3 linked regions of the Arabidopsis thaliana genome follow. The protein of the gene in region 3 interacts with the protein of the main gene of each other region in a pairwise test. Each region holds a gene or a part of one and is shown on either strand. Other genes may lie near its edges.

Region 1 (10,775 bases), on a different chromosome or scaffold from region 3:
AGTATACTCACGATGGAGACTTATGATGCAGTGGTTGAATACAATGAGGTGGAGTAATAGCAGTAAAAAAAACAGGTAAAGAAATTAGGATATGTATTATGTGGGTTTGGTTTCACTAAGTAGGAACCTGTTTTGCTTCGATGGTTTTTTTTCTGAAGTCATTATGTTGTATTCGCTTGCAGATAACCGAGCACTATGCTCTCGTCAAATGAAGTAAATAGACAGACTTACAACGCGACTGTTGGTGTCTTGGAAGTTCAATAGTGGAAAGACTGGACCAAGTAAGAGAAACCAAGAGTTAAAGAGTAGGTAGGAGGAAGATGTTGAGATGATGCAAGTTTAGGTGTGGAGTTAGTTTTGAGATAGCTATAGGTGGATTCTCAAATAGCTGACACTTAGTCTCTCTACTTCCATAATGTACGTCTCTTCTATACCAAAAATTCTCACCCCCAAAGTTTCTTTCCAACGCTTTTCCTCACCTCATCATTTTTTCTTACGTTTCGAGTACCACCTATTTCAACAACATTAAATATTTTCTATAATTTGACTATCAATTTTTAATAAATTAAAACTATACATAGTTTTAGATAAATTACACGAAGCTTCCATAGAAGAGGAAAGTTCATTTGAATTTCTCTTCTAAACCGTACCTTAAAGATTAAATGGTGAATATACACGGGGAAATTTTTTTAATAAACAACGCGTTCTCTATTAAGGTATTGATTGATATAAGTAAGCAAGCGGGTGTAACACAAAATAAAATATTATAAAAGGCTTCTTCTATAGGTTGGTAAGCGGCAATCCAGCTGCCATTGCCTATTTGACTTCCCCCATTCGATCATGGTGAGCTCGTCTTCTCTCTTCTCCTCTTATCTCTTTCTCTACCATTTTCTTTTGCTTTAAAGCTCTCTCAATCATGATCATGAAGACCCCCATCACAGCATTCCATTCATCCTCATGAATAATTCTACATCAGGTTTCTTCTCTTTCCCTTTCTGATTCTCAACACTCTTACCACATTTCTACTTTTGTGTTGTATATCGATTTTTGTTCTACATTCTTCCAAATGTCAGGGAATCTAGTTGAAATGTGATGATTTTTGTGTTGATAACTTGATATCTGGTATGGATTGAATGATTGGTGATTATCTCTGTTAATTCATCTCTGATCGTGTTTCTGTTTGTGTTGACTTGGAATGTGGACCTGGTTTGGATAGTGAAGAGGCTGGTTTCATCTAAGGCAATGAAATGTTTCTACTTCAGCAAAGACAAAACTCAGGATGATGAAGCTAAGACTAGAAAGTTTGGTTCAGCTACGATGGCTAGAGGAGGATCAGGGTCTGAGTTTAATTCAGATACAAGTACTGCTACTTCCATTACTTCTTCCTTGCACGTCCTCTCAGAGACACACAGTAATAATCTCAAAGTATTTGTCCTCGATGACCTTAAAACCGCTACCAAGAACTTCAGCCGCTCCTTGATGATCGGTGAAGGTGGCTTTGGTGGTGTCTTTCGTGGCGTGATTCAGAACCCTCAAGATTCTCGTAAAAAGATTGATATTGCAGTTAAACAACTTAGTAGAAGAGGTCTACAGGCAAGCAAATCTTTTTCTCTCTCTTTAGTTTGCTTCTGTTTTACACAACCTCCTTCAGTACCCAACAATAAAAACAACTACGTATGCATTAACAGGGGCATAAAGAATGGGTGACAGAGGTAAATGTATTGGGAGTAGTGGAGCATCCGAATCTGGTGAAGCTGATCGGTTATTGCGCTGAGGATGATGAGAGAGGGATCCAACGGCTACTTGTTTACGAATACGTACAAAACAGAAGTGTTCAAGACCATTTATCCAATCGTTTTATAGTCACTCCTCTTCCTTGGTCCACCAGACTGAAGATTGCTCAAGACACTGCTAGAGGACTCGCTTATCTTCATCAAGGCATGGAGTTTCAGGTATCTTCTCCATCCATGATCACAAATGCCTTTAAACCTTTTTCATATGTTCTTGAAACTATACTCATCTTATATGCAGATCATCTTTAGGGATTTCAAATCCTCTAATATCCTTCTTGATGAGAACTGGAATGCAAAACTCTCGGATTTCGGACTGGCTCGAATGGGTCCTTCAGATGGAATCACTCACGTTTCCACCGCGGTACGCTACGCCTTACTTGTTATGTCTCCATTGATTGTTTGAAACAATTGAAGTCTTACCAAACTATGAATCTACAGGTTGTAGGGACCATTGGTTATGCAGCACCGGAATACATCCAAACAGGACACCTCACGGCTAAGAGCGACGTGTGGAGCTACGGAATCTTTTTATATGAACTCATCACAGGAAGACGACCTTTTGACCGTAACCGCCCAAGAAACGAGCAGAACATCTTGGAGTGGATCAGACCACACTTATCCGACATAAAGAAGTTCAAAATGATCATCGACCCAAGACTTGAAGGAAACTACTACCTCAAGTCAGCATTAAAGCTAGCTGCAGTTGCTAACCGGTGTTTGATGGTAAAAGCGAAAGCAAGGCCAACAATGAGTCAGGTTTCAGAGATGTTAGAAAGGATAGTGGAAACATCATCAGATGGTGCTCCTTCAGGACTGCCATTGATGAAAAGCTTGACACCTAAAGATGCATTCGAAGCCTCAAGAAGGGAGAGAGTTAAGAGAAGATTTGTTGAACTGTTAATTGGAGAAAATGGTTGTCCCAATTTACCTACTTGGTCTCATAAACTTGTTACTTCTATTTGATTTTTTTGAGAGAACAAACTGATAATCACACTGCTTGTGTTATGCCAATATTAATTGCCATTATAATCACTTGTCGTTTCTATAAATAAAACGGCCCGCAGTTTTGCCCACAATAAACGCCGTGTCGTTTACATCTTAAAGTAAACATTGCAACTGTCTTCTCCGATAGTCCGATTTCTATGTTCCCGTTAATTGGGGTTTTAGGGTTTTCCGATTAGTTCCACAATGCTCTCTATTCGCCGCCATGCCAAAACCGTAGCTTCCTCCTGCACCAACCTTACTCAGAAACGAACCTACGTCGACGTTTACATGAAATGGAAGAGAGATCCTTATTTCGACAACATCGAACACATCCTCCGATCATCTCAGCTCAAATCCGTCGTCTCTCTTAAGAACTGTATCGTCCAGGAACCTAATCGCTGCATTCCGATCTCTGCCATCTCCAAGAAGACTCGTCAATTCGATGTATCAACCAAAATCGCTCACTTCTTAAGGAAGTTTCCTTCAATCTTTGAAGAGTTCGTTGGTCCAGAGTATAATCTCCCATGGTTTAGATTGACACCAGAAGCAACAGAACTAGATAGGCAAGAGAGAGTCGTATACCAAACTTCTGCAGATGATTTGCGTGATAGGTTGAAGAAATTGATTCTGATGAGTAAAGATAATGTTTTGCCACTAAGTATAGTTCAAGGAATGAAATGGTATTTAGGTTTACCTGATGATTACTTGCAGTTTCCAGATATGAATTTAGATTCTTCGTTTAGGTTTGTGGATATGGAAGATGGAGTTAAAGGTTTAGCAGTAGATTATAATGGAGGAGATAAGGTTTTGTCTGTGTTGCAGAAGAATGCAATGAAGAAGAGAAGAGGAGAAGTGAGTTTAGAAGAGATTGAGTTTCCTCTGTTTCCATCAAAAGGTTGTAGATTGAGAGTCAAGATTGAAGATTGGTTAATGGAGTTTCAAAAGCTTCCTTATGTATCACCATATGATGATTATTCATGTTTGGATCCAAGTAGTGATATAGCAGAGAAGAGAGTTGTTGGTTTTCTTCATGAATTGCTTTGTCTTTTCGTTGAGCATTCTGCTGAGAGGAAGAAGTTGTTATGTCTCAAGAAGCATTTTGGATTGCCGCAAAAGGTTCATAAGGCGTTTGAGAGACATCCGCAGATTTTCTACTTGTCTATGAAGAATAAAACTTGTACAGCTATTCTTAGAGAGCCTTATAGAGATAAAGCTAGTGTTGAAACACATCCTGTGTTGGGGGTAAGGAAGAAATACATCCAGTTGATGAAGAATTCAGAGTTGATTCTGAAGAGTCGAAGGAATAGTTTCGGGTTTAGGGACGAAGGGGTTGTAGATAAAGATTTGGATTTGGATTTTGAAGGCTAAGGCAAAATGTTGTACCAATCTTTATTAATCAACTTTCAAACCAGTTTTAAGATGCAGATCATCACTCAGATATTACAAAAGCTTTGAATGCAAGAATGAATTTTGCTATACGAAAACAAAAGACAAAACAGAAAAAGAAAAAAAGAAAAAAAGTATTCCCCTGAAAGACAAAATGGGTATAAGAGTTTGTAAGAAAAAAACAGAGAAATATTTTCAGTTGGTCAATTTCTCAACGATCTTGGAAAGAGCTGAATATGAGCCAATGACTGAAGATATTGCTCCTACTATGATGATTAAGACACACAACATCATCTACAAAAACCAACCAAAACTTTGTTAATGAATCGTCTTATAACACATAGAAACAATGTTTTTGTGAGAGGCTAACCTGGGTCGGGGTAACTTTTCTCCTTACAATGCTCAAGAAACAAGCTGGAGGAAGTATTAGAGTCTGCACAAAACAAAAGATGAACTTATATATCCAAACTTAAGATCCTCATTTGTAGTAGATATACCAAAAATAGAAGGAAAAGACAGCTTACGACGAGCATAGTCAACAACGATCCAATCAATGACATGACAAGACCTGCAAGATTTTTGAGTGTTCTCACAACTAGCAAAAGTATGATTTTCAAGAAAAGGAGCTTTGCATCAAAATAGTAAAGAGGAACTTACCAAAGAAGGGAATAGCGAGACCAACAAGCAGAGTAGAGAAGACCAATAGGGTTCTAATGCCGATGGCGTACCAATGTGACCTGATATGCCTTGATGGTATCAACTCCTCAAGACTCATTGCTACTGGAGATATGGTCAAAGCATATTTGGTAAATGGATTGACCACCTGTGAAACGGTTAAAACAAAACGGTTTTACTTCCAACCAACATGCAAGAACCAATACGTAGTGGAAAGAAAACATATTTGGTCCACTTACCGTAGTCCACACAGCAATCTTAGTTGCAATTAAATCTTGAGGCAAGTTGAGAGTAAACTGTGACTGTGTTGATTCTCCAAACATCGTATAACCCATAACAGCGACGCCGGCATACATCAGAGTACAAATACCAAAACTGCACAAAATTATCAATCTTTCTGCTATCAAAATGGTTGAATATTTTCTTGAAGTTTGCATAAGCGAAAGTCGAAGCGTTGTAGAAGATAAGAACTTGTTTAAAGCGACATAAGCTTACCATGTCAAGAGAACAGCAGGGTATTGAGATGGTTTGGCCATAGAAGTATAAATATTGGGGAAAACAGCATGTCCTGAGTAGCAGTAACCATAGAGTCCTATAGCCACAGGTAATGTTGACAAGTTTAGTGTAGTTCCTTTGCTGTGAATTCCAACTTCATCTACCAAACCAATCCAAAACAAACATAAAACCACTAGCACTGATGCAATCACCCCTCCAGCAGAGATATAACTAAGTACGCTGAGATCTCTGAGCCAAACGGTGGGGAGAACGGCGAGAGTGGTTAGCAATGCAAATAGATGGCGTGCATCTAACTGAAATCCTCCAATACTTAAGGCAGCATTTGGATATAATGAAGACAAATTATCACTCTCCAATATTATATATTCCACACAGCATGCCTGAAAATATGAATAGACTCATGTCAAGTCTGCAGATGTATCATCTAGTATCTACTATATAGTCACTATTCAACTAATCATTTCACACTAGTAGCTTTTAAGAAGCTTTTTAGGGATCATTTCCATCTAAAATATATCTTTGCTACTTTAGTGACGTCAAAAGTATATAAGCTTTATGAAGGAACAAAATGAAACAAAGAGAAAAGTTTAAAGCAGCTTCAGGTAGTGCCAAATCTAGAACTAGTGGCAGAATCTATGGGACCCTTTGCTAACGTGTTTCACAACATGGGGTCACATACTTGAGATCTCTTTTCTTGTTTGTTTTTTTTAAAACACAACTTGGAATCTCTGTAGTTATGTACTTTTCTTGACAAAAAGAGTCATGGGATTCCAATTTTTATAAAATATGAATTAAAGTCAAGTGATGGACGAATCCAAGAAGTACTTACGTATAGCTCCAAGTAGAGTACAATCTGCAATACAAACAATAAAAGGAATAAATTAATAAAAATTGATATCAAATTCCACTATTAAAGAAGCTAATATTCGTAGTTTCTTGCTCTATTTGATGAGATGTATTATTAATTCAATAGGTTTCTTCTACTCATTTGACTTCTTATAGCAATCTAATTGCACCAACACATGCGTGATAGTAATTTTTCATAAGAATAAAGCTTCATACTTGAAACAAAAGTGGTAGCTTTTTGCCCTTTGCTTTTGAGTTGTTCTATTTGATCCTAGGCCAAAAGGCAATTCTCTTTTTGTGTGGGATCTTGTATATAGTTCATTCAGTTTTCTTTTTCTCTATTTGGTCCTTAACTTTATATCACCTTCACTATAGAGGAAGATTTTAAGGAAATTTATCATCTTACCGAGACAAAGATACGTCCAGTAGTACCAAACGCAGCTTGGCCAATGTCGGGATAGGTTTCGAGGTCAGACTCACTGTCGAGGCAATAACGAAGGAGGATTCCGGTGTAGAAAGAAAGAAGACCATATACAAATAGTATCATAAGTCCTAACCATCCTCCTTCTTTGGCAGCATAAGGCGTTGAAAGTATTCCAACCCCACAAAGAACGTTCAATCCTGCACATGACCCACATGTTATACAAGATGATCATAAATTTACTAAGAGCAAAAGATCTCAATCATGTTCTTTGAACCTAGACGTGTTTGGTCCAACATGTGCTCCATGTGCTATAGGACAATAGAGTTGATTGTTGTTTTGTACGATTCACTTAATTTATAAAGAGACATACATCTTTAAACCCCGAAGAAGACGGTCTTAGACCCTCTTACACACACAATCTAGATTCCTATAATGAAAATCAAACAACAGAGAAAATGTTGACATATTTTCATTAGTATTTAACGGTGAATGAACACAATTGCAATCAATATTGCAGCTCTATAGTTCTAGGAAAGCAGCAATTAGCTCTACCATCGTTACTACTCTCATCAAGCCAAGCATCAGAGAATCTCTTAAAACTATTTAACCACTTTTAACGAAGAGAAGACACGATATTTTAACTCAAGCATTAAGATGAACTGACCATTTAGTACAGCTTGTCCGTATGAGCTATTACGAGACATTGGAATCTCATGAGACACCATGGATGATTTCTCATCCTTTCGCATCGAACCCCTCCTCGAAGGAATAGGAGAGAGTAAGCCCTGAGAGCTAAGTCTATGTTTTGGTAGTGCTTGTTCATCTGCTTGTTCTTCTAACAAAGGTTTTGTAACAGTAGGTAATGATTCCGGAGTATGTCTTCTTATCAAACCAGAAGACAAGAAAGAGCTTCCGAATCTCGTCATCGAATTATTCCCAAGAAAACCGATACCGGGAGACGGTACACTACTATAAAGATCAATCGACTGCCTACAAACATTATCAAGAACACACAAAACCAACTCTTAAAACGTAGCAAATCAAATCAAGAAATGGAGTAATATTAGCGGAAATGAAACATATTCACTTAACTACCACAATAAAGAGTGGAAACGGAGAGAAGCCAAACCTGTAACTCTGAGGCCAAGCAGTGGTGTATGAGCTAGGCTTAATGTGAGCTTGGTTTTCATCATAAACATCATCAGAGGAATCAGAATGGCTTCCACCATCTTCTTCTACGTAATCTTTCCTATCGTCTTCGTCCTCGCTCTCAATGTAAAAGCTTTGATCAGACGGTACGTGATTCATTTTTTCACTTTATGAAATCTGATTTGAATTCGTGTAAAAGAAAATAAATGGTAAGATTGTCGGAACAATCAAATCCGAATAAAGATAACTGGTGACGAGATCTAACCTGTAAAGTCAAACAGTCTCTTGTTCTGTCTCAAGAACAGGATTATGGAGAAATGTAAAAAAATTCTAAGCTTCAATGATTGAGTCCCCAGATCACATCAAGAAAACAGACAAACAAAAGAACATTGGTAAGATTGTCGGAATTTCGAAACAGAAACAGAATTTTGAGAGAAATAAGATTGCATCGCTGCGTGAGAATTTCATTCAATCTTAAATCATTGATTGGCAAAAGAGAAAACAAATGAAAAAGGATTGAAGAAAGAAGAAAGTGAGAATCGTTGGTGTTGTAGACATTGATATTGTTACCTGAAAATCTTCGGATCAGAATCGGTGCGGAGAGAAGAGAGAGCTCTTCTGATAGGAGGAGGATATAGAGAGAGGGAGATGAGAGTGGAAAGGAGAGGGAGAGAGAGCGGCTTTTTCTCTGTTCTACAAATAATAAAACTCTTTACAAAAGTTTTTTTCAAATTAAATACTTTTTAGGGTAACTTATTTTATTTATATTAATCATTTTCCTCTAAACTTATTTAATAATTAATCATTGAGTATTAATTGTTGTGGTTATAGATTCCCATTTTTAGTTTGAATATGTGATAGGTTTCCAGTTATAGATTCCCAGTTTAAGTTTGATTGGTACTGTTTTCTAAACCCAACGCTTATACATGTAATAGTTTGGAAAAGAGTACCAATTTGGGGGTTTTTTTTTTAACAAAGATGTTTTGATATTTAATTAAATTTTTAAACCATGTTTGGTAAGAAATTGGAATGAGATCGTAAGACAAAAGTGAAAACAATGTGAAAGTAAGATTTGGTTTAAAACGGAAACAACAAAATATCAACAACAAAAAAAACCATCTTGTTTTATTAGCAGAGAGCCCGTATGAAGGACGTGTGACAAGTATCAGGCGAGTGTGTCCACGCCCTTTTGGTCGAGTGGAATAAAAAGACAAGAACACACAAGTTTAGGACAACAAGGAGATGACTGGATGACGACGAGTTGCAAACTCAAGTGGTGGTACGCCGTGAATATGTGATTGGTGCCAGATTAAGCAGTGCTTATTTAATAGTACATATTTTGTTTTATTTATGGCTCGACGACGTCATAATTTTTAATCATATTGTTTGCTTCTTTATCTTACTTACTATAGACAAGAAAATGTCCTTAAGATACACCTAAATAAAAGTAATTAAGTGGACTAATTAGCATAATCCGAGGGGGCTGTTTATGTCAATTTCTTATTATAGAATATGATTATACTATTCTTCATTGTTGGGTAGGCAAACCATATCTTGCTGACGGAGATAATTTAAATTTATTATTGCAATACATCAGCTTTAGGATTGTGGGATTGTCTCAAATCCCACTTTTTTAAAAATAGTTTAACAGCAAACTGAGAATCTTTCTTTCTTTTTGTTGTTGGTCAGAAATACAAACTGAGAATCTGATCATGTATTAAAACAAACTAACCAAATAGTGCTTTTTTATTAAGGTTTCATGAAATGTGACGCCTTAGCGAGGCTAACGAAAACAAGAAGTGTCATGAGAAACACAAAAATCAAAACCACATATGAATGAGCGATTCATCTCATTTAGCTAGCAACACCTTTTCAGAGTATATATCACATATGCTATGGAGTATCTAGATTGGTGAATTTAAATTGCATCGTCATAAAACAAGAGGGAAAAAGCCACAGTAATCAATCAAAAGATTAGGTCAATATCAAATAGCTAATTTTTCAAAATGAAAGTTGATATACGATAAAAAGGTCAGATTAATAAAAACAAAATGGTTCATTGAACATGTATGTATCAGATTGTAAGTATGTCAAATCAAAGTATATATCTATCTCACTTTCGAAATCTGCAAAAATGACTAGTTAATTGAGGTGAACCGGCAAAAAAATCACAATCGTAAGAACAGAATCACATGATGTGTAGATCTGTTGGTCGTTCATTTGGACTTTTCTTCTGAAACGATAACTCAAGAGCATGTGCTCATTTGATCTCTCTTTGTTGATTCTCCGCTTCCTTCAACATATCCCCACATGCTTCATTGTTGTATTTTATTTTTATTTTCGAAACTATATTAATACAGAGGAGAGGAAGATCGTCCTCACAAGTATTTGCAAAAATGATACACAAATCAATGCCAAAATGATGACGCAGTGAAGGTTTAGACAGCTCAAGAATGATATTGCACATCAATCACTGATTCAATGTTTTATTTTTGTCTTCTTCTTTTTTTTTTTTGTTGAATGATACTCATTGTCAACATAATATCATAAGCCTTTTATCAAAATAATAATAATACATAATGTCCTGCATTTTGTCTTTTTGTGATGATTTTTGCTCATTATATAAATTGCAAGTAACTATGTTTTGCAAGGTTTTTTCTGTTCGTGACATAAATTGCGAGTAACCATGTTATGTTATTATATATGTACCTATGGTGCGAAGGTTAGATTTTACATATGGAGATAATAAGTATTGGATTTGGAGATAACATAATGCTACGACTTTATACTGTGTATGTTGGGATTTCATACCAAACAAAAAAAATGAAACCAACTAGCCAAGAATATGTTTACGTTTTGAGTTTTACAGAGTTCACATTATAGTTGATTTTATTTGTGCAAATTATATTTACTCTGCAAAATAACATCTTACTCTCCTACTTCAAGAAACTTTGAAGAGAAAGATATGGAATGCAACGAGTTACACAAATCTGTTACAAGAT
Region 2 (9,064 bases), on a different chromosome or scaffold from region 3:
AAACAAAATGAGAGAAGCATGTCCTCTGGTTGTTATGGGTTATGCTTGACACTTGAATATTTGTGCAGACAAGAAGAGAGTTGATTTTGTTCACATGGATTTTGTTGCTCACTACTTAACAAAAAATGGCAGTGTTTTTGCCTTGAAACACGAGACAGCCACCACTTCTCCAAGCATTTTACTATAACGCCCTTTGTCTCTTTCCCTAATTGGAACTACTTAGTCACACTGAAAGAAGGATCTTTCATATTTCCAAAAAGATCTACCATTTTAAAATGAGTCTTTTAAAAAATGATGCATCTATCTTTGCATAAACCTAAGAAGAAGTCCAACATTAGGTGAGTTTGAATCAAAGTAATTCTAAGTTATGCAATTTACTAGAAGTAATCAGCAGCATATGAATTAAGTACTAATAAAAAATAGTTTAATTAAAAATATATATATAACAAAACTATATGTTGATTGACACGGATCATTTTAAAAACATTTGTGAACTGTCTTATAGAGTAAATGTCCATTTCAAAAGAGTTGGATATGCACATTAATTATATAATGTTTGAATGTTGATCATGCTCTTATGACATGTTTTTAAGTCTCCACATAAGAACCATGCAATTTTCCATGAATTAATAACTAAACGTCGTTAGTCCGACTAGAAAAATACCATGGATAATCCAAACATGCATAGTTCAATAAGTGTGTAGACGTGAAGATGTTGTCAAGATCTTTTCCAGACATTCCTAGTCAGTACCATATTCAATGTGGATATACATTAGCGCAACATGCAAAAACGGAAAAAATTCCGACCATGTCACAAACTTCTCATTTAATACCAACAACCAAACCGGTGTGGCATGGAGGGTCAATCCAACGACATATCTAAGGACATGAGTCCTAGATCTAGGGAAAATATTCCTATCAAACATACTTATCCAAGACTAACAGAGGGACTAAATATTATTCAAGAAGTCAATTTACAAATCAATGCAGATCATAAGTCTCGTTTCTCCAAAAGTACACTTGTTGGTTTCCCTTCTTCTCTTCTTCAAAATCTTCTGATCATCTCATTCTTAGTTCATAATGTCCAATATAGGTCACCGAGTAATTTTCATTCTCGTCTGGCAGCCAATGAAACCTGAAAATTTTCTTTACTTGTCCCTCAAAGCACCAAGAGATACTTCACCGTGTGTGTTTTTTCACTTACGTTGTACTGAAAATCATAGTTCATCCATCCTATAATACTACAGTTTAGACACAATTAACAAAGGAACAGGTTATGAAAAAAAAAATTGCGATCAAAAAAAATACCAATTGTTTAGACATCCACATGCAAACGTCAATTTTAAAAAAGTCTTACAATCACTTCACTCATAAAACGTATTGCATATTGCAAAAAAATGTTACTATTACCCTCAAACGATGTGAGCATACAATGCTTGACGCTCATCTAAGTTTGGTTATGATATCACTTGGAAAGATCCGACTACAATTATTTGTGGACCTTTCTGTTCACTCCTAGCCCGTAGGCTTCATCCACGTCTGACCACCGATGTCAAACTTTTGAAACCTCTAAGAAACTTGTTATTGGTCATATATTTCACCACAAACGTAAAAATACGTGTTTTTACATCTCATGATATTAATAATCATTTATAATAGGTCATTTTCTTTAGATATCTCTAACTTAGACACACTTAATGTGTAGGTTTTTCAAAATGAGTCACGAAAAAGTTAATTACACTTTGGTGATACATGAAAAATCAAATTAATAATTTTGATCATCTCAACACGCACAACTATTTTTCAAATTCAAGTTAGTACAAATACTATACGATCCTCATTTACTAGACAAAGGTTATATTCTTAAAACCAAATTAACTCCGGAAAAACTTTGCCCCCTCCAAAACCAAATTATAGCTTCAGATCATGTATTATGTATATGAATCACAAAATGTGCAGGTCAACTAGTTGTTCTCCGTTGCCTTAATTTCTCTTCTTCTCCACATGTCGTTCCCTCACCATCAGACTCCCAACACATGTTACCATATAGATATTAAGCCATAAATAACTCGTCATACAATTGTACAAAGTATTTATAGTTACGTTGTACAAGAAAAGTATTTAGAATTGGTTAATTTGCGATAAGACCTTTAGTCTACTTGATATATTTTTGCATACACGTGAGAAATTTGGTCAATAGAAATGCTGATCTACCGATAACGGTTTTGATCCTTTTCACGCCAAATTTTATAGAAAATGATCATATGCCAAAAACATATACAACAAATGAAATTGCATGTTGTGGTAAAATATTGATACAACGTTTTAATTAATTGTAATCATTTGATAGAAAACAAGCTATTTTAACATTAATAAGTTATATATAATAAATAAGTTACTATTAATATTTTACATTTACTTTTATAAAGATTTATTTATTTTAAATAGTTTTTAGGTTTCATGGTATGGTGGCAATGAACATGCTTTCAAGCCATTTTCTGCATAATAGTGTTTAACATTACATTACATTACATATATTCATTAAACCTAAATGTTAAAATTATATATGCTAAAGTTGCAATAGACATGCAATTTGAAATTGGAAGAAAATGCTAAATTAAATCTCATGCCATTTTACAGCATAATTTGATATTTTAGACATAGGAAAAACTTAAATTTTATCTTGATTGACTAGGAAAACTTAAATTAACCGTTAGTGCAAAAAAAGAAAGGATTATCTTCACAGAAAGTATATAGACTAATCTAGTGCAGTTTCCTGTTTGACATCATTACACCTAACCTTAAAATTTTCGGAGTTATAAAATAGGACCGACCTCTGTTTCTAAATGTTTCAGCGGAATTAAAGAAAAACAAAATGGCATAAAATTTGTAATTGTGTCACAAATCACAAATGATATAAAATTTCATTTTTTATCAAAAAAAAAGAAAAAAAAAGAAAAAAGAAGGAAAAAAAAAAAGAGAGAGGCAAAATTGGCATATTAATAGGACCGACCTTAGTTGGTTTTGTTTGTTTTTAATATTTGCTATGGAGTATGTGTTTTAGCAAAAACAAATCATAAATGTATATACATTGTTAAGTGTATAAAAATTGTAAATCCGTAAAATTTGAGTCAAATAGCATACAATATCTATAAATGCCATAAAAATGTAAAATTCATTTAATTATAAATCTAAATCCTAACTACTATTATATAAATCCAAACCGATATATAATCTCGTTTAATTAGAAAATTTAAAACCTTTATTATCTTTTATAAACCTAAATCAATATTTAAACTTGTTTAATTGTAAAATTTAAATCTGTTTATAAACTCAAACCGATATTCAATCTCATCAATCATAAAATTGAAATCTTAACTTTTTCTTATAACTGATATATAATTTTTTTATGGCAAATTATATTTTCTAATTAAATTAATTTAATATTATTTATTAGGTGGTAGATTTTGATTGGCTAGAATAAAAAAGTTCACCCAAGTATTTTTCAAAACAAGTACTAACCCCATCAACTTATGTGACCAACCGTTATTGAATAAATGCTTTTTATCCTCTCAGCCTAAGAGGTAACAACAGCCTGATATTCTAGCACTTAGGACGACTGTGAATTCGCCAGCCGACATAACCGAAAGAGTTCAATATATAGTGAAGCCCAAAGTTGAGTTAAAGATTAGGAAAGAGATTTGCTATTATTAAAGGTAATGCGATGTATTTTAAAATAGTTAACTAAACCAATTTTTATGTCTTTCTTCAAAAGTGAACTCTTGAGCTATCCTAAACCTGTGTGTCGTTCTTCTCACAGACTTATTTGGTGGACACACGATTTGTTTAGTCAAAGCAAACAAAAAAAGTCCCACTTCCCTATTAGAAAATCAATTCTTTGTTAAAAAGAAATTAAAACTAATTTTCGCCACGTGTAGAAACGATATCGCTTCTTTACAACTATAAATAGTCAGCCTTTCTCCTCCAAAAGGCCCAACCAATTCCATATTAAAAATATTAGTTCCTCTCGGTTCCTTTTATCATTTGCATAAAATCGTTTTGCCTCCAAAAGACTAAAAGCTCTAGACTTTGTCTCTTTGTCCTTTTATCTCTACTCCCAACAAAACCAGTTTACTCCTCTTAAGAATCATGTGTAATTCAAAACCATCTTCTGCTTCATCTTCCTTATTATCTTGTAAAGACAAAACCCATATCTCAAAACTCGAAACCTGTGATACAGATAATCCTCATTATTCTGAATTCAGGGATACTGATTCTCTAGACCTTAAAAGATGGCCAAGTTTTCTGGAGGTAAATTATTTCTTTTTTTTTCCTATACGTAAATGTTTGTTTTTTTCTACATAGATATGAACATAATAATTCAAGAATCTAGTTCTTGACAAAACTAGATTGTACGAACTATACCAAAAGCATATATACATATACATATATATAAATAGAAACAACAGTTTCGCAATCCTTTTTATATATATACCTAAATCTTTGGTCCCGGTTGGTGATTTGGTTTTGTCATTTTTTTATAAAGGTTTAAGATAAGCTTTATTTGATTAATATAATTAACCATTAACCAGGGAAAAGAAAAAAACGATCTACTGACGTGGACGGTTCTTGGTCTTGACTTTTCTTTTCTTAATTATCTGGCGGCAGGGCTTAGAGGAAGTGAAGGCGATCGGAAAAATCTCTGGGCCGACGGCGATGACCGGGCTTCTTATGTACTCAAGAGCGATGATATCGATGCTGTTCTTAGGCTACCTCGGTGAGCTTGAGTTAGCCGGAGGATCTCTCTCCATAGGCTTTGCCAATATCACCGGCTACTCCGTCATCTCCGGTTTGTCCATGGGGATGGAACCAATCTGTGGCCAAGCATACGGAGCTAAACAAATGAAGCTTTTAGGACTAACCCTTCAAAGAACCGTCCTCCTACTCCTCTCCTGCTCGGTCCCTATCTCCTTCTCGTGGCTCAACATGCGCCGAATCCTCTTATGGTGCGGCCAAGATGAAGAGATCTCCTCTGTTGCTCAACAGTTCCTTCTATTCGCCATCCCTGACCTCTTCCTTCTCTCTCTGCTTCACCCTCTTCGAATTTACCTCCGAACACAAAACATTACATTGCCCGTGACTTACTCCACGGCCGTGTCCGTTCTCCTCCACGTTCCTTTGAACTACCTCCTAGTGGTGAAACTTGAGATGGGAGTAGCGGGAGTCGCTATAGCTATGGTTTTGACAAATCTCAACCTTGTAGTCCTCTTATCCTCTTTTGTGTATTTCACTAGCGTGCATAGTGATACATGGGTCCCAATTACTATTGACTCTCTTAAAGGTTGGTCGGCTTTGCTCTCACTTGCCATACCCACTTGTGTATCTGTTTGTTTGGAGTGGTGGTGGTACGAGTTTATGATCATTTTGTGTGGACTTTTGGCTAACCCAAGAGCCACCGTGGCTTCCATGGGAATCTTGATCCAAACGACGGCTTTGGTCTACGTCTTCCCATCCTCTCTCAGCCTTGGTGTCTCTACAAGAATTAGCAACGAGCTTGGGGCTAAACGTCCGGCGAAAGCTCGGGTATCCATGATCATCTCACTCTTCTGCGCGATCGCCTTAGGCCTAATGGCGATGGTGTTTGCTGTGCTGGTTAGGCACCATTGGGGACGCTTGTTTACCACGGATGCAGAGATTCTTCAGCTGACTTCCATCGCATTACCCATTGTGGGGTTATGTGAGCTCGGAAACTGTCCTCAAACAACCGGTTGTGGGGTTTTAAGAGGCTGTGCAAGACCTACACTTGGTGCCAACATAAACTTGGGTTCATTTTACTTTGTGGGCATGCCAGTCGCTATTCTGTTTGGGTTTGTTTTCAAACAAGGGTTTCCAGGTCTCTGGTTCGGGTTGCTTGCAGCTCAAGCAACTTGTGCTTCTCTCATGTTGTGTGCACTTTTGAGAACAGATTGGAAAGTCCAAGCCGAGAGAGCTGAAGAGCTGACGTCACAAACTCCCGGAAAGTCTCCGCCCCTTCTCCCCATCGCAAGCTCAAAGAGCCGGTCTACCTCCGGTACAGAAGATATGATGAGAACCATGTTGGTTTAGATTGATAGCTATTCTCTGGAGGCATTTGCCATCAACATTGACGTACATATATGTTCTTGTCATCATTTTTTGGAGTTTATAGTGCTCCTTAATTTCTACTTTTTGATTTAAGAACGACTTTGTTTTGTGGGCTTTAGTGGTGTTTGTGTTATTTATGGTTGTATTGGTGTGATAGTTCTAATTAGCTTTGACTTCAGCAGTTTGTATTTTATGTGTTCCCTTTTGTAATAACTCGTGGTTTGATTATCTTTATATATTTGTCCATTTTCTAGGAGAATGTGAATTTTTTTTGTTAAACTAAGAATAAATTTATTTTATTTTATTTTTGTCACAAAAACTAAGTATAAATCAAAATGAAAAATTTAACCTCAATACAACTTTAATATATATATATATATATATATATATAAAAAGATTCCAAGATACTAGACGTGTCTAGGCCATTGAAATCTAGAGAAAGACCATACTAGTAGATCAAACCTAATGGCCGAAGACAATCAGAATAACTAAGGATACAGTAAAAATGTTCCATAATAGGTTAATTTTTTTGCAATTTATTTTGTATTCGTATTTGTGTTGTGAAAGCTTTGCTTATTTAACAATCAATTCTTTTCTTAAGGACAGGCAAGATGAATGTTTTATTTTTGAGCTTTTGGTGGTTCCATGTTCCATAAAAGGAAATTATATTCGTAGCCAAAAATGGAAAACAATTTCCTTTAATTCTATCATATTCTTTGTCTCAAAGCCATTGAGATTCGATACGTTTTAAAATTTAATTGAGATCACATTTATTTTGATTTTGGTTGTTTCCTTTGAGCAGAGAGAAAGCATCTTTTCTTTTATGTATACTTTTTTTTGTCCTGGGACCAGAACATGAATTTATACGAACTTCACAGCGATGTGGCCAAAGAATAAAACCAAATATGACAAGAAAATGAAATAAAACTGAGTGGAATCGATAATGCGTCTACGTGTCGACGATATGAATTACCTTTCAACCTTTGATATTCCTTTTCTATAGATATTTTTAAGAAATAAAATAAGTAAAGCCTAGTAAACTGAATTCCATTGGCTTGCTGAAATATCTTTGATTTTCATTGGCCATCGATAAAAAGTTCGAATTTCATTGGCCTTTGAATTATGACGAAAGAAAAGACAATTCTATATTATAAGTTTTGGACATCTACCTTTTGTTATTATTTACACGTGAATAGTTTTTTTTTTTTTTTTTTTTTTGTCTTTTATTGGTAAACACTATGAGGTCAATCATACTCATTCTAAATTTACTGGTGAAGCTATTTCGAAATTTTAAAGATATCAAACGTAGATGATTAACCACGGTAAAAAAAAAGTATATTTTGTAGATAGAAGTTGTTTTTCAGTACTGTACACAGTTAATTATATCTATATATGGAAAACTATAGTAAAATGAGAAAATAATAATACTAACAGTAAACAGGATTATTACGTATTTTGCCATTTTTAGTGGTATTTATGAATTTTGCTATTTTGGCTAAAATATTATGGATTTCTAAATGATATATTTGTTAGGAAAATAAATTGTTTCAAAAAGATAAGAGTTTTTAAATTTTCTATGTAATATTTTTTAGTTATTATTGATGACTCTATAAATTTTAAGAAAATTAATTGAATACTATCAGTAGAATTATAGAAAATTGTAAATCACAAAAAAAAACAGATACTTTTATAATCAACTTTTCATATGTGTGAGTGACAACTCAAGAAAATACATTATTTCAAAACAAAGGGAGTGTGTTTTAAAGGTCATTTGATATAATTATGCATTACATTTTCTTTCTACGTACTTTTTAACACTACTCTTATGTTCGCAACAATTTAAATACTTGTCATTTCCCTAAATAACTCTTTGTTTTCTCTCATTTTGCAAAGTAACCCTGCAAACTATCCTAGGAGGTGAGCATTTATTATATCTAATATATGACATATTTTTATACATCATAGAATTAGATCCGAAAGGTGATATATGTTCATGTATACTTAGAATAAGTATGGCAAGTATGCAATAATAAAGTGGAGTAGGTACATCAATCACATGTTCTTACTGTTTTTGTCTGGATCAAACGTTCAATTGTAGCCACATGAAGCATCACAAACATATAAATATAGTTCATAATACGTAGAGAGTAGAGAGAGTCGTAGACAAGTTTGTGTTCTAAGAAAAATCGAATTAATAGATGTCAAGTCTATAAATGTCGCGTGTGGTAAAGCTCGAGTTTGGAGGAGAAAGAGAATAGGCAGGGTCCCTCACCCGGCCGAGACATGAGCGTTTGATTTCCCTTTATTGTAAAATAATAGCTTTACAATCCAATTTATCACCTACTTACTTTTTCAACATCATCTTCTCATGATTCCAACCATGAGATAAATCTCATTTTCTGCTCCTCAAAGCAGCAACTAATCATATCATGATTGAGTACAAAGAGGTTAAATGCAAGATTGTTGCAATTGTTGATTCTGACGCCACTTGGAACGTGCATTCCTCTTTTACGTTAAAACAATAGTGTTTGTAAATTGTGACAACTTATATACCATCTACTTTTCCTCAAATTCATTAGGTCACCAATGGACCAAGCATGTCGAGATCGAAACTCTATTCATCCGTGAAAAATTAGCTATCGTCAAATTCAAGTTTTACATGTGTTTTCCACCTATATGGCTATATATCAATAACTCGCTAGAGTTTATTTTGCAAAAAAAAAAAAATCTTTATGGTTATTTTACAAATAATGTTCAACCATATGGTTGTTAATTCATATATTGTATTTATCATAATTAAAAATCTATAATGCCAAATGCCGACGAAGATTAAAAACATATGATATTCATAAAACTTTATTGACATGTACGATTGTTATATAGTATAATCTTTTGATATAGTTTCTTAATTATTGACATGTATGATAAACTACTACCTAAG
Region 3 (10,968 bases):
ATGGTTTAACAATACTCTCATTAAGTACTAATTGGTTTTAGTGCACATTTTTATTGTTGAACCATCTCTACATTTTTTAATCATTGGAAAAAGAACTATATGGAAAATATAAGTATACATAACAAAAACTTATATGCAGTAATTCCAATATACATATATGTAATCCTAGTTAAGAAGCAAAATTTGTAAAGGCCAAAGAGACTAGGAGAGTCACCACGGCCACGATTTGAGCCGTCACCATACTCGGGAGAGAAGCAGCAAGGCTAGGAGAAGGGCCAGGGACTCCGGCTGCAGGAATAGTAGTCGAGGGAGGAGAAGAGGAGGAGGAAGTTGGTGGATCAGAGAGTGGCGTGGAGGAGGCAGGGAGAAGGACGTGAAGGTCGAGCTTCTGACCGGCGAGGCAATGGCCAGGAACGCCGCAAAAGAAGAAATGGTGGCCGTGGTTGGTGAGTGTGATTGAGTCGTTGCCGGTGGTGAAAGTAGAGATTGGCTTTGAGGTGTTGCAACTTCTATACATTGGGTGCGTCACTCTCATTACGTTGTGGAATTGTGGGTTGTATTCGAACACTATCAAAATCAAATTAGTTTACGTTTTACTCATGTTTTCATAAAGGTAACAACAATTTTAAACATGTGCATACCATGAGAAAAAAATAGAGAGCATATATAAACCAAAGAAAAATCATAACATATTTTGGCCCAAAAACTCAATCATAGTTTTTATTTCAAAATTTATCAATCATGATTCATAAGTTAAGAACCTCTCTAAACTAATTAATATAATCACTTTAGCAGATGTGACACTTGATTTCGTATTAATCCTATAAATTTAATTTGTGACTTAAAAGTCTCAATGATTAGGGCGTGAGTGGTACTCTTTACTTTACACCTAAAGCTTACGCACTTAAGAATTATGAATGCTAGAGGGGGTCCACTTTCCGACAAAATTAAGTATTACAGTCAAGATCTTCTCATTTTAATTTAGCTTGTATTGTACAATGATGTAAGAAAATTCAGGAACTCACAGACAGTATCACCAATGTGGAAAGTTTTGGTAGAAGCCCATAGCTTGTAGTCTACGTTGGCTATGGTTGTCCATCCTGCTGAGTCGCCGACTTTGTACACGGCCGCTTCACTCAGTCGTAGCATCACCACGATACACGCTAAAGCCGCCACTATAATGGCTGCCATCGGTCAACAAACTTTCTCTGACACACGCTTCTTCTTCTTCTTTGGTAAAGAGCCCCACAAGGTTTTCTCCTTTAGTTTCTCTCTTTCTTATTATGTGTGTGTATATATACAAGGAGGTATGTGAATGTGAGTGGTGGTGCGTATGTATTAGGAGGTCACTTGATCTTTATTGGTTAGTTGGCTAATTTGGAGAAAGGAGTGTCTAAAAAGCAAAATACTGACAAAGATTGTTTACTTTACTTGTTTACCTTTTATTAGTGTTGGATTTAATGTCTAAGACTGACTTGGAAAATTGGAAGAATGTATAAAAAAATAAAAATGTCGATATAATTGAGAAAGAATAATGGAGGAAAGAAATTAAATGATGATTTTTTTCCTTAAAACTTTATAAAATGTTAAATAAATCTTGACATGATATTTTTTAAAAGACATGAATGACTTAGAAATCTCACATGAAGTTTAGTTTGGGATATAATAATCCAATTTATAAAAAAATACTATGGTTAATTCATTTTGAAAACTCATAAATTAGTCGGTTTTTAAACAAAAGGAGAAAAAAGTGATTCTTGTTATATGTTGTCAAGTGTTCACATGGTTTAAAGTTTGGAAGGCTTGTAAGGAAAGAATGGTGCGAGTTAGTTGGTCTGCTAATTTTGAATCATCTTTTAATTTTAGTACTTCGCAGTTACTCTTCCTCCTACATCTTGGTACCATGATTTCTTTAATCTAAGTAATATATTTGTGATAAATACCTTTTTTTGGGTAAACTTTTATAACAACATTTTATGCAATTTGATCACTGCTGGTTTTAGTAGAGAGTAGACTGTATAACTTCAAAACTAGTCTATATTTTTAAGCAATTTGAGACCAACAAAAATAATTATACAGTCCATTATAGGCCCATAACAAACCTATATTTGGCCCATTAACATAGGCTACCATCATTTTTAAGAGAAAATCGACAATGCAAATTTAGAGTTTGACATATACATGTCACACTTGTAGAAAATTGGAACTCAGGGATGACATTAAGAACCACAACAAAGCAAAAAAAAAAACTTCACTTATTCACAAACGCAGTTCAAACTTAAAGTAACGAAATTTAGTACACTGTATAGAATTGAAAACTGTATTTCCCTTCTCTACTTTGGTGTGTTTACCACCTCTTGTTCACTCTCTTCTGCTTCTACTTTGGTTAGGGACTCTTAAACCACTTTAAAGCCGTGTTGAAGGATCAAAGCCATTAGATTTACCATTACTCTTCTCACCATTCACGAACTCGTGATCATTATGATCATCCATGAACCTAGCCCAGAACCAATGCTTCTTCCAAACTCTCTCAGTCATCTCCTCGATAGGAATATTCTTAGTCTCCGGAAGTAGGAACATCACAAAGACAGACATAATCAAAACCCATGCAGAAAAGAAGATGAATATCCCAAACTTGAAATGGCAAAGCATAGAGAGGAAAGCTTGAGCGATAATGAACGTGAAGAGCAAGTTAACGCAGACCGTTACACTTTGTCCCGCGGAACGTGTCTCTAGAGGGAATGTCTCACTAGGGATTAACCACCCGAGCGGTCCCCAAGACCAGGCGAAAGCAGCGACGTATGTGCAGATCATTACCACGACTAGAATTGCGAAACCTTTGGAGAGATTTGTAGAAGTGTCTGTTACTTTGACGCCAAGGATAATGGCGATTACGACTTGAGAGAAGAACATTTGGACACCAGCTTCTAGGAGAAGAACTCGGCGACCGACTTTGTCAACGGAGTAGATTGAGACTAAAGTTGAGAGGACGTTGACTGCTCCGGTCACCACTGCTGAGTAAAGTGAAGCGTCACTACCAAACCCTAATGTGCTGAACAGAACAGGCGCGTAGAACATAATCGCGTTGATTCCAGTACATTGCTGGAAAATCTGCAAATTGCACACCAAAAAAAAAAAGATTAGCTTTAAACTTTGAAACTGAACTCTATGGAATCAAAATTTATGGAAACTTGACAAACAATTTAGGGTTATTGCTCCTAAAATGAACACAATGGAATCAAAATTATGGAAACTTGACAAACAATTTAGGGTTATTGCTCCTAAAATGAACACAATGGAATTAAAATTATGGAAACTTGACAAACAATTAGGGTTATTGCTCCTAAAATGACCACAATGGAATCAAATTTTAGGGTTTCTAGATCCTAAACGAAAAACAAAATCACTTCAGTCAAACTCTCCAAATCGGAGATAAACTTTTCCGATTACCAATTACGAGAGAACAGAGAAGTGGTAGTACTAACCTGTAAAGCGACGGCGATGACGAGCTGAGGACGGTTTCTACGTTGAAGAAGGTTTCTAAAAGGGTGTTTAACTTCTTTAGCAAGTCGACTAGCTTCAAGGAGATCAGCGAACTCTGGTTCAACATTATCGGTCCCTCGAATACGACGAAGAACAGCTTTACCTTCATCGAGACGACCTCTTTCGACTAAACTGTTTGGTGTCTCTGTCACCAATAAAGCTCCGACCGTTAGAAGAAGCGCGGGAATTCCCGCCAAACCTAACGATAACCTCCATCCCCAACCTCCTTTAATCCTGCGAACATTTCAAAATTTATTTAGTGGGCCAGTTTTTAACTCCGTTATGGGCCTACACGTAAGCCCATTAATTACAGGTGACAGATCATCATAACGCATTAAAAGTCAATGCCGGAGAAAATTTTGTTTGCGACTATATAAGACGTAGGCATGTGGATAGAATTTGCCGAAAGCACGGAAGAAAATTATGTTTGCGACTTATATGATAAAGTTTTTTCTTTGTTGTTTTGTTCAAATCTATTCATAAAGTTAAATGCTTTTTTTTTTGGTAATTGGATATGAATGATTTTTGAAAAAGGTGAAAATAAATTTAAATAAACACGGAAGACAGCCAAAAAGTTTGACAAAAACGATCAGAAAATTATGAATACTTTTTAGGTAGTACATGTAACTAAATCTTTTTTTTTCTTACAATAAATTTAAGGTTGTGTGAAGTGAAAGAGACAATTCATGTGGATATTTTTTCAAGTGTCATGTTAAAGCAAATTTTCTAAAATTATGACCACCATATATTAATTTGGATTTTATTTTGTCAAAAAAATCTCAAACCCTAAGTTTATTTTCCACACATTTTTTCAGATTATCAAATAAAATATAGAAGAAAAGTATTAGGGAAGAGATATTTACTTGGCGGTCCCATAGTTGACAAGATTGGCGAAGAGGATACCAATAGTGACGTTAAGCTGAAAGAGAATATTAAGACCACCACGGATCCTAGTAGGTGCAATCTCCGACAAGAACAACGGAACGGCTTGATTAGCGAACCCAACTCCACAACCAAGCAATATCCTGCCTGCAATAAGCATGGCTAGGTCTTGAGCCCCCGCGTTGAGAGCCACACCTATGATGAAGAAAACGCCGGCTATGAGCATAGTTAGCCTCCTTCCGAGCGTTCTTGTCGTGTATGAAGCAAAGAACGTTGCGGTTAGACCGGCTAAGTATAAAGATGATGTGAAAAGTTGTAGTCCTTGGTTGTCGTATTTGCAGTAGTTGCTGTCTTTGTCGGCGCCAGCTACTACTTTCCGATAAACCACGGGAAAAAACTTTTCGAGAAAGTCCGGCATCGATGTCACTCCGCCTGCGTATAGCCATTTCAATGATGGAAAATTATTTTTGTTGTTACTATTTTTACCGTTAAACCCTATAGGATATTATACTCATAAATTTATTAATTTATTCATGTTGATGTAGCCCATGTTCAAATTCAACATCGAGCATGTGTGTTGTAAGAAAATAACAAAAAGAAGAACTAAAACCTATATGACACTACTTTTGTCAATATACTAACTAAAACAAGGACGGTCTAGATCTTTAGCTGCCAAACTTTTGTAAGCTAAGATTTTTTTTGATTATTTTCTTACTTTAACCAATATTAATTAACATCGAGCTAGTTACTGAAATTTCATTTTGATTACCAAAGAAGTTAGGTATTAGGTGAAATAGTTCTACCAAAGAAGTTATTGGCGGTAGTTGAAAACATGAGCAAGTCCTATTTAAAATCGTTTTTTGAGAAAACTTGCACTAACAAAAACTTATGTATCTTTAAAATAAAAACTTCTTCTACGTTTTGTATAATATAAGATAAAAGGATTGTATTATACATATAGAAAAATAACTAAGGGATGTTAATATTCTTACCGGAGACACCGACGTCGTAACCAAACATGAGGCCGCCGGTAGCAGCCATGATGCAAGATATGATGACTATTGGAGTTATCTTTGCCTCAAACTCTACTCCGTTCGCCGAAGTCGCAAATCCTCCTCCGGTCATCCTGAATATCTCTTAGAAGCTAAAGTTTAAAAGTTATTTTCTCTCAAGGAGTTAAACAGAAACACTTAAGTTAAAGAGACCATTGGGGGTGTTTACTTCATTATATAGAGAAGTTGAGGTAGTGAAGCAAAAATAGATGTTATCTGCAGCCAATGAGATTCTTGCACGTCTCTTTTTATGTTCACATGCTACTGAGTCATCAAGTCATTGGTCAACAAACGTTTTCTTCTAAACTCTTTCTGCTTTATGTGGCGTCTCCTTAAGTCCTTATAGTTGAATATACAATTTGCCCATCATCATATAAGTCTTCTCTTTCTTGTTATAGTATTATCCTCGAATATTATATTTATTTTTATGTTAAATTATAAGATTCTCCTTTCTTATTAGAGAGATTGTTACATTTTCTCATATCGCTGTCAATGACTCAATGTGTTGTGAAAATCTTGCAACCGAAGCAAAATATCTCGAAATGTATTATACCTTTTAGAATATGAACGATTTGGGCCGTGTGTTCATACAAAATAGCCAACGTCATGTTACTTGTGAATTTTATCTTACTAATTCTGTCCTTTGTATTGTCTAAATTTATTGATGTTATGTATAAGTGTTACGTTATATGCCATATCTAGTCCCATATACTTTTAACACCGTAAGCAATATTCAACATTTTATTTCAGAATCATATTGAGATGAAACAATTATTGTGAGTACTAGACCGACACCAATCGAACCCACCAACCTCCCTAATTAAGAATATGGATCCAAATCTTTAAAATCGTTATAATATATAACCATATTTGCTCACCACTCGATTCAATTATTGTTTACTCTCGTTCTAATACGATTATGGAACAAAATATCTACAACTAGTCGAAGCCAATTTTTTAAATTTATATGTGTTGTTTTGTCATATGGTTTTCTCAGTTGGTGTCACGTTATTTGTGTATATCTACCAAATAGTCACTTTTGTATAGTTCATGGGTCCATATCTTTAAAAGACAATAACCATATATGTTTTTGGTTCTGATAAGACTAATAACCAAATATGCTCACTGCTACTCAGTTATTGTTTACGCGTTGAAAAGTTGCAATGCAACAACAACAACAAGTAAATATCTACCTTTAATATAATTGACTTTCCAATATATTTAGGTTTTTGATTTTTGATGTATGATTTTTCATTCTTTTGTGGTTTTGGTAATTGAAGTTTTTCCTATACACTGATATATCAATATTAAAGTAGGACAACACATGCAAATTAAAAATTGAATATTAATTGTTGAAATATTGTACCACGGATATAATGTGTTTAGACTTGTAAGTAAACTATATCCACTTGACATACATGTAAAATTAATTACGTAACAAAATATTCCTGCTTGGACCAAAAAAGTGTGTATTTTACTTTTCAAACATCATTATCCTGTTAAGAGTTGGAGTCGACTAATACGATTCAGATTCCACAAATATCAATGAGAGAAACGTAATAAAACGTGACGATAATTAATAGGAAAAGAGAAAAAAAATACGTCAAGTCGTTAACAAGAAAAAGGCTTGTTTTATTATTATTCTGTTTTCAACGAGAGCAATAACAATAATAAAATATATAAACAATAAATATCTATAAAGTTATTGTTATTATCCTGTTAACAAAAACTAAAATAAAAATATAGCTCTGTAAGTACGTTGCTCCAAGAAACGAAACTACATCCCATTATTTCAGCATTCCAGTATTATTTTCGTAGATTTTATATATATATATATATATATGTTGGTAAAATACTAAAGATTTTTGCTTCTAATTGTGGTGAAAATTTTAAATAGTACGGCGATTTTCATAATTTTTTACTTTCTTTTTATTGTACTCATTCGGCTGATTTGATCAGTTTCGGTAGAAATAAACCGAAGTATTATAAAGTAAACTTTTCCCGATTCAGGTATCGCCTACAGTTTTTACTATCACAGGTTTGGGTTACAACGATTTCCATAATTTTCTGAACTGAGCAAGCCATAAGTGAATATTAGCTGATAAATATAAAATGGGGAAAAAACCCTAAAAACACCCCATATATTTTTAATTTGCCCGTTTAATACCTCGGTTATTTAATTTGCCCGAACAATACCTAGGTTTATTTCTTTTCGCTTTAAAATCTTTCGTTTAGTTTTTGTTTGGAAAAACCAGCTTCTCGGGTTAACGACTGTTAACTTCGTTAACGGAGTGTCTAACCGAGGTTAATACTTAACCCCACGTGTTTATTTCGATCTAATCAAAGACACTGTTACCCTTTTGGCATTCTCCCCCAAATCGATTTCGATTCCAAACCCTAAAATTCTCTCTTTGATTTCGAAACCCTAAAATTCTCTCTTTGATTTCGAAACCCCAAATCGATTTCGATGTGTGTCGTCGTTTAACTGGTTGCGTTGTGGTCGGTAATTGATTTCAACGAGTCTGCTAAGTCACGATGAGGTATGTAATCGAATCGATTCTTAGGGTTAGAATTGGGGGAAATCGATTTCTTTGTTCGTCGGGATCGATTTCTGGGTTGTCGGGATTGAGAATGGGAAGATTTCTGGATCGATTACTGGATTTGTCGGGTTAGATTTCTGAGTTTAGAGTAACAGTTTCTATGTTTGTCGGGTTCGATTTCTAGGTTAAGGGTTTTGTCGGGTTTGATTTCTGGGTTTTTAGAGTTCTAGGTTTGTGTCATTTGAACTTAATCCCCTTATTCTTTGTTGTTTTTGCAGTGGTTTCGATTGTTTGAAGCTGCATATAAAGTATGGAGGAGATGTCTCAATTCGCGATGAGTCGTTTGCCTACATTGGAGGATTTGAGAAGAGGGATATGCTCATTGATCCAGATCTGATGACGTGGTCTATCTTCGCCGATTTCCCAGCAGAGAATGGAGTATCTGCTCCCGTGAAAAAAGTTTGGTACAAGCTTGCACACGAAAGCTTTGAATCAGTAAGAGCTATAGGCGAGGATAGAGATAGTGGGATTAGGCAGCTGTGCAGTGAAGCGTTGATTGGTGGAGAAGTAGACGTTTATATTGAGCAAGGTGTGTCTGAACCAACACCGTTTCCTATGTCTCAGCATGGTGAAGAGGCTGTTGTTGAAGAGATGGAAGAGTCTGATGCAGAGGTTGAAGGAGATAAAACTGGGGAAGAAGACAGAGGTAAAGATGATGATGTTGATCCTGTAGCAGAATGTGAGGGAGATGATCCTCGGTTTAGGGCCTTTTATGAAGAGATAAATGAAGAGGATAATAACCACCAAGATGCAGGGGAAGCAGCTGGTCAGGGAATTCCTGAAGCTGATGAAGGACATGTAACGGGTCAAGAGGCTGGAGTTGATGAAGGACATGTAACGGGTCAAGAGGCTGGTCAAGAGGCTGGTCAAGAGGCTGGTCAAGAGGGTATTGATGAAGAAGAGTTTGAGGATCAATGCATGGATACAGAGCGACCTGATGCTGCGTTGGATACAGATGAGGAGTGGGATGCTTTAGACCGTGAAGAAAGAGAAATTGCAAGAGCTAAATTCACCAAAGATAAGCCACCTTATCTATGGCTTAAGCAGCAGTTTAATAATGGTGAAGAGTTTAAGGATCAGCTTTTGAGGTATGTCTTGAAGACTAACTATGATGTGAAGTTATGCAAATGGGGTCAGAAACAGCTGATGGCTATATGCAGCCATGAAAACTGTCAATGGAAGATTTATTGTTTTGTGGATAAGAGGGTAGGGAAATGGACAGTGAAAACTTATGTGGATGCACATAAGCATGCGATCAGTGGAAAAGCGAGGATGCTGAAACAAGGTGTGATTGCCAGATTATTCAGAGATGAAGCAAGAAGGAGGCCAACCTTGACTTAGGTTGACATTAAGGATGAGATAATGATGAGGTATACGATTTCAGTGTCTAAGTGGATATGCAGGAAAGCAAGAAGGATGGCGTTTGACATGGTTATTGAAACACAGAGACAGCAATTTGCGAAGTTGTGGGATTATGAAGGTGAGCTTCAGAGGTCTAACAAGCACACACACACAGAGATTGTGACAATTCCTAGAGCTGATGGTAAGCAACAATTTGACAAGTTCTATATCTGTTTTGAGAAGCTTAGAACTACATGGAAGAGTTGTTGTCGGCCGATTATAGGATTAGATGGTGCTTTTCTGAAATGGGAATTGAAGGGTGAGATTCTTGCAGCAGTTGGTAGGGATGCAGACAATAGGATTTATCCTATTGCTTGGGCAATAGTAAGAGTAGAAGATAATGAAGCTTGGGCTTGGTTTGTTGAAAAACTGAAGGAGGATTTGGATTTGGGCGTTAGAGCTGGTTTCACTGTGATATCTGATAAGCAAAAAGGGTTAATCAATGCAGTGGCTGATTTACTACCTCAAGCAGAGCATAGGCATTGTGCTAGACACGTTTATGCTAATTGGAAGAAGGTGTATGGAGATTACTGCCATGAAAGCTACTTTTGGGCTATTGCTTACAGTGCAACAGAAGGGGACTACTCATACAACATGGATGCGCTGAGATCATATGATCCAGATGCATGTGATGATTTGCTGAAGACGGATCCAACCACGTGGTGCAGAGCCTTCTTCAGTACACACTCTAGCTGTGAGGATGTAAGCAATAATCTCTCTGAGAGTTTCAACAGAACGATTAGGGAAGCAAGGAAGCTCCCAGTGGTAAATATGCTTGAGGAAGTCAGGAGAATCTCTATGAAGCGTATTTCTAAGTTGTGTGACAAGACAGCCAAGTGTGAAACAAGGTTTCCACCCAAAATAATGCAGATTCTTGAAGGCAACCGCAAGTCATCTAAGTATTGTCAAGTTCTCAAAAGTGGAGAGAACAAATTTGAGATATTAGAGGGTAGTGGCTACTACTCAGTCGATCTCTTGACTAGAACATGTGGTTGTAGGCAGTGGGAGCTGACAGGCATTCCTTGTCCTCATGCAATATATGTTATCACAGAGCACAACCGCGACCCGGAAGAGTAAGACTTTAATCTCTTTCTCTTCTCTTTTACCAATCTATGTTATTATGTGATTGTGTTTTCTGAATTGGAGTTTGCTTGCCATTTAGCTATGTGGATAGGCTCTTAGAAACACAGGTCTGGAAAGCTACATACAAGGACAACATAGAACCTATGAATGGAGAAAGATTATGGAAGAGAAGAGGCAAGGGACGAATTGAAGTCCCTGATAAGAGAGGGAAGCGAGGGAGACCTAAGAAGTTTGCAAGGATTAAGGAGCCTGGAGAATCATCAACTAATCCAACAAAGCTTACAAGAGAAGGTAAAACTGTGACATGTAGCAATTGTAAGCAAATTGGTCACAATAAGGGATCCTGCAAAAATCCAACTGTGCAATTAGCTCCTCCACGCAAAAGGGGTAGACCAAGAAAGTGTGTT

What was found.
Region 1: the proteins of MSS1 (region 3) and AT2G39130 interact in a protein complementation assay, tested with the Arabidopsis thaliana proteins (one large-scale study listed by BioGRID).
Region 2: the proteins of MSS1 (region 3) and ZF14 interact in a protein complementation assay, tested with the Arabidopsis thaliana proteins (one large-scale study listed by BioGRID).

Annotation. Positions count from the first base shown.
Region 1 is NC_003071.7:16,318,813-16,329,587, forward strand, and holds AT2G39130 (Transmembrane amino acid transporter family protein), read right to left. Parts: upstream 8,495-10,775; 5' UTR 8,344-8,494; exon of another isoform or gene 8,109-8,343; 5' UTR 8,039-8,108; intron 7,951-8,038; 5' UTR 7,933-7,950; coding exon 7,754-7,932; intron 7,615-7,753; coding exon 7,289-7,614; intron 6,822-7,288; coding exon 6,607-6,821; intron 6,208-6,606; coding exon 6,184-6,207; intron 5,735-6,183; coding exon 5,334-5,734; intron 5,214-5,333; coding exon 5,078-5,213; intron 4,987-5,077; coding exon 4,821-4,986; coding exon of another isoform or gene 4,777-4,820; intron 4,732-4,776; coding exon 4,688-4,731; intron 4,597-4,687; coding exon 4,534-4,596; intron 4,458-4,533; coding exon 4,359-4,457; 3' UTR 4,146-4,358; downstream 1-4,145. Other genes in the region: AT2G39100 (RING/U-box superfamily protein), read left to right, coding at 1-57; AT2G39110 (Protein kinase superfamily protein), read left to right, coding at 958-976, 1,217-1,593, 1,689-1,952, 2,032-2,154, 2,232-2,756; WTF9 (Ubiquitin carboxyl-terminal hydrolase family protein), read left to right, coding at 2,982-4,145.
Region 2 is NC_003070.9:21,649,013-21,658,076, forward strand, and holds ZF14 (MATE efflux family protein), read left to right. Parts: upstream 1-3,975; 5' UTR 3,976-4,149; coding exon 4,150-4,311; intron 4,312-4,668; coding exon 4,669-6,105; 3' UTR 6,106-6,427; downstream 6,428-9,064.
Region 3 is NC_003076.8:9,241,445-9,252,412, forward strand, and holds MSS1 (Major facilitator superfamily protein), read right to left. Parts: upstream 6,097-10,968; 5' UTR 5,551-6,096; coding exon 5,418-5,550; intron 4,858-5,417; coding exon 4,407-4,857; intron 3,778-4,406; coding exon 3,486-3,777; intron 3,112-3,485; coding exon 2,407-3,111; 3' UTR 1,954-2,406; downstream 1-1,953. Other genes in the region: AT5G26330 (Cupredoxin superfamily protein), read right to left, coding at 170-567, 1,026-1,191. UniProt on the Arabidopsis thaliana protein: Mediates an active uptake of hexoses, probably by sugar/hydrogen symport.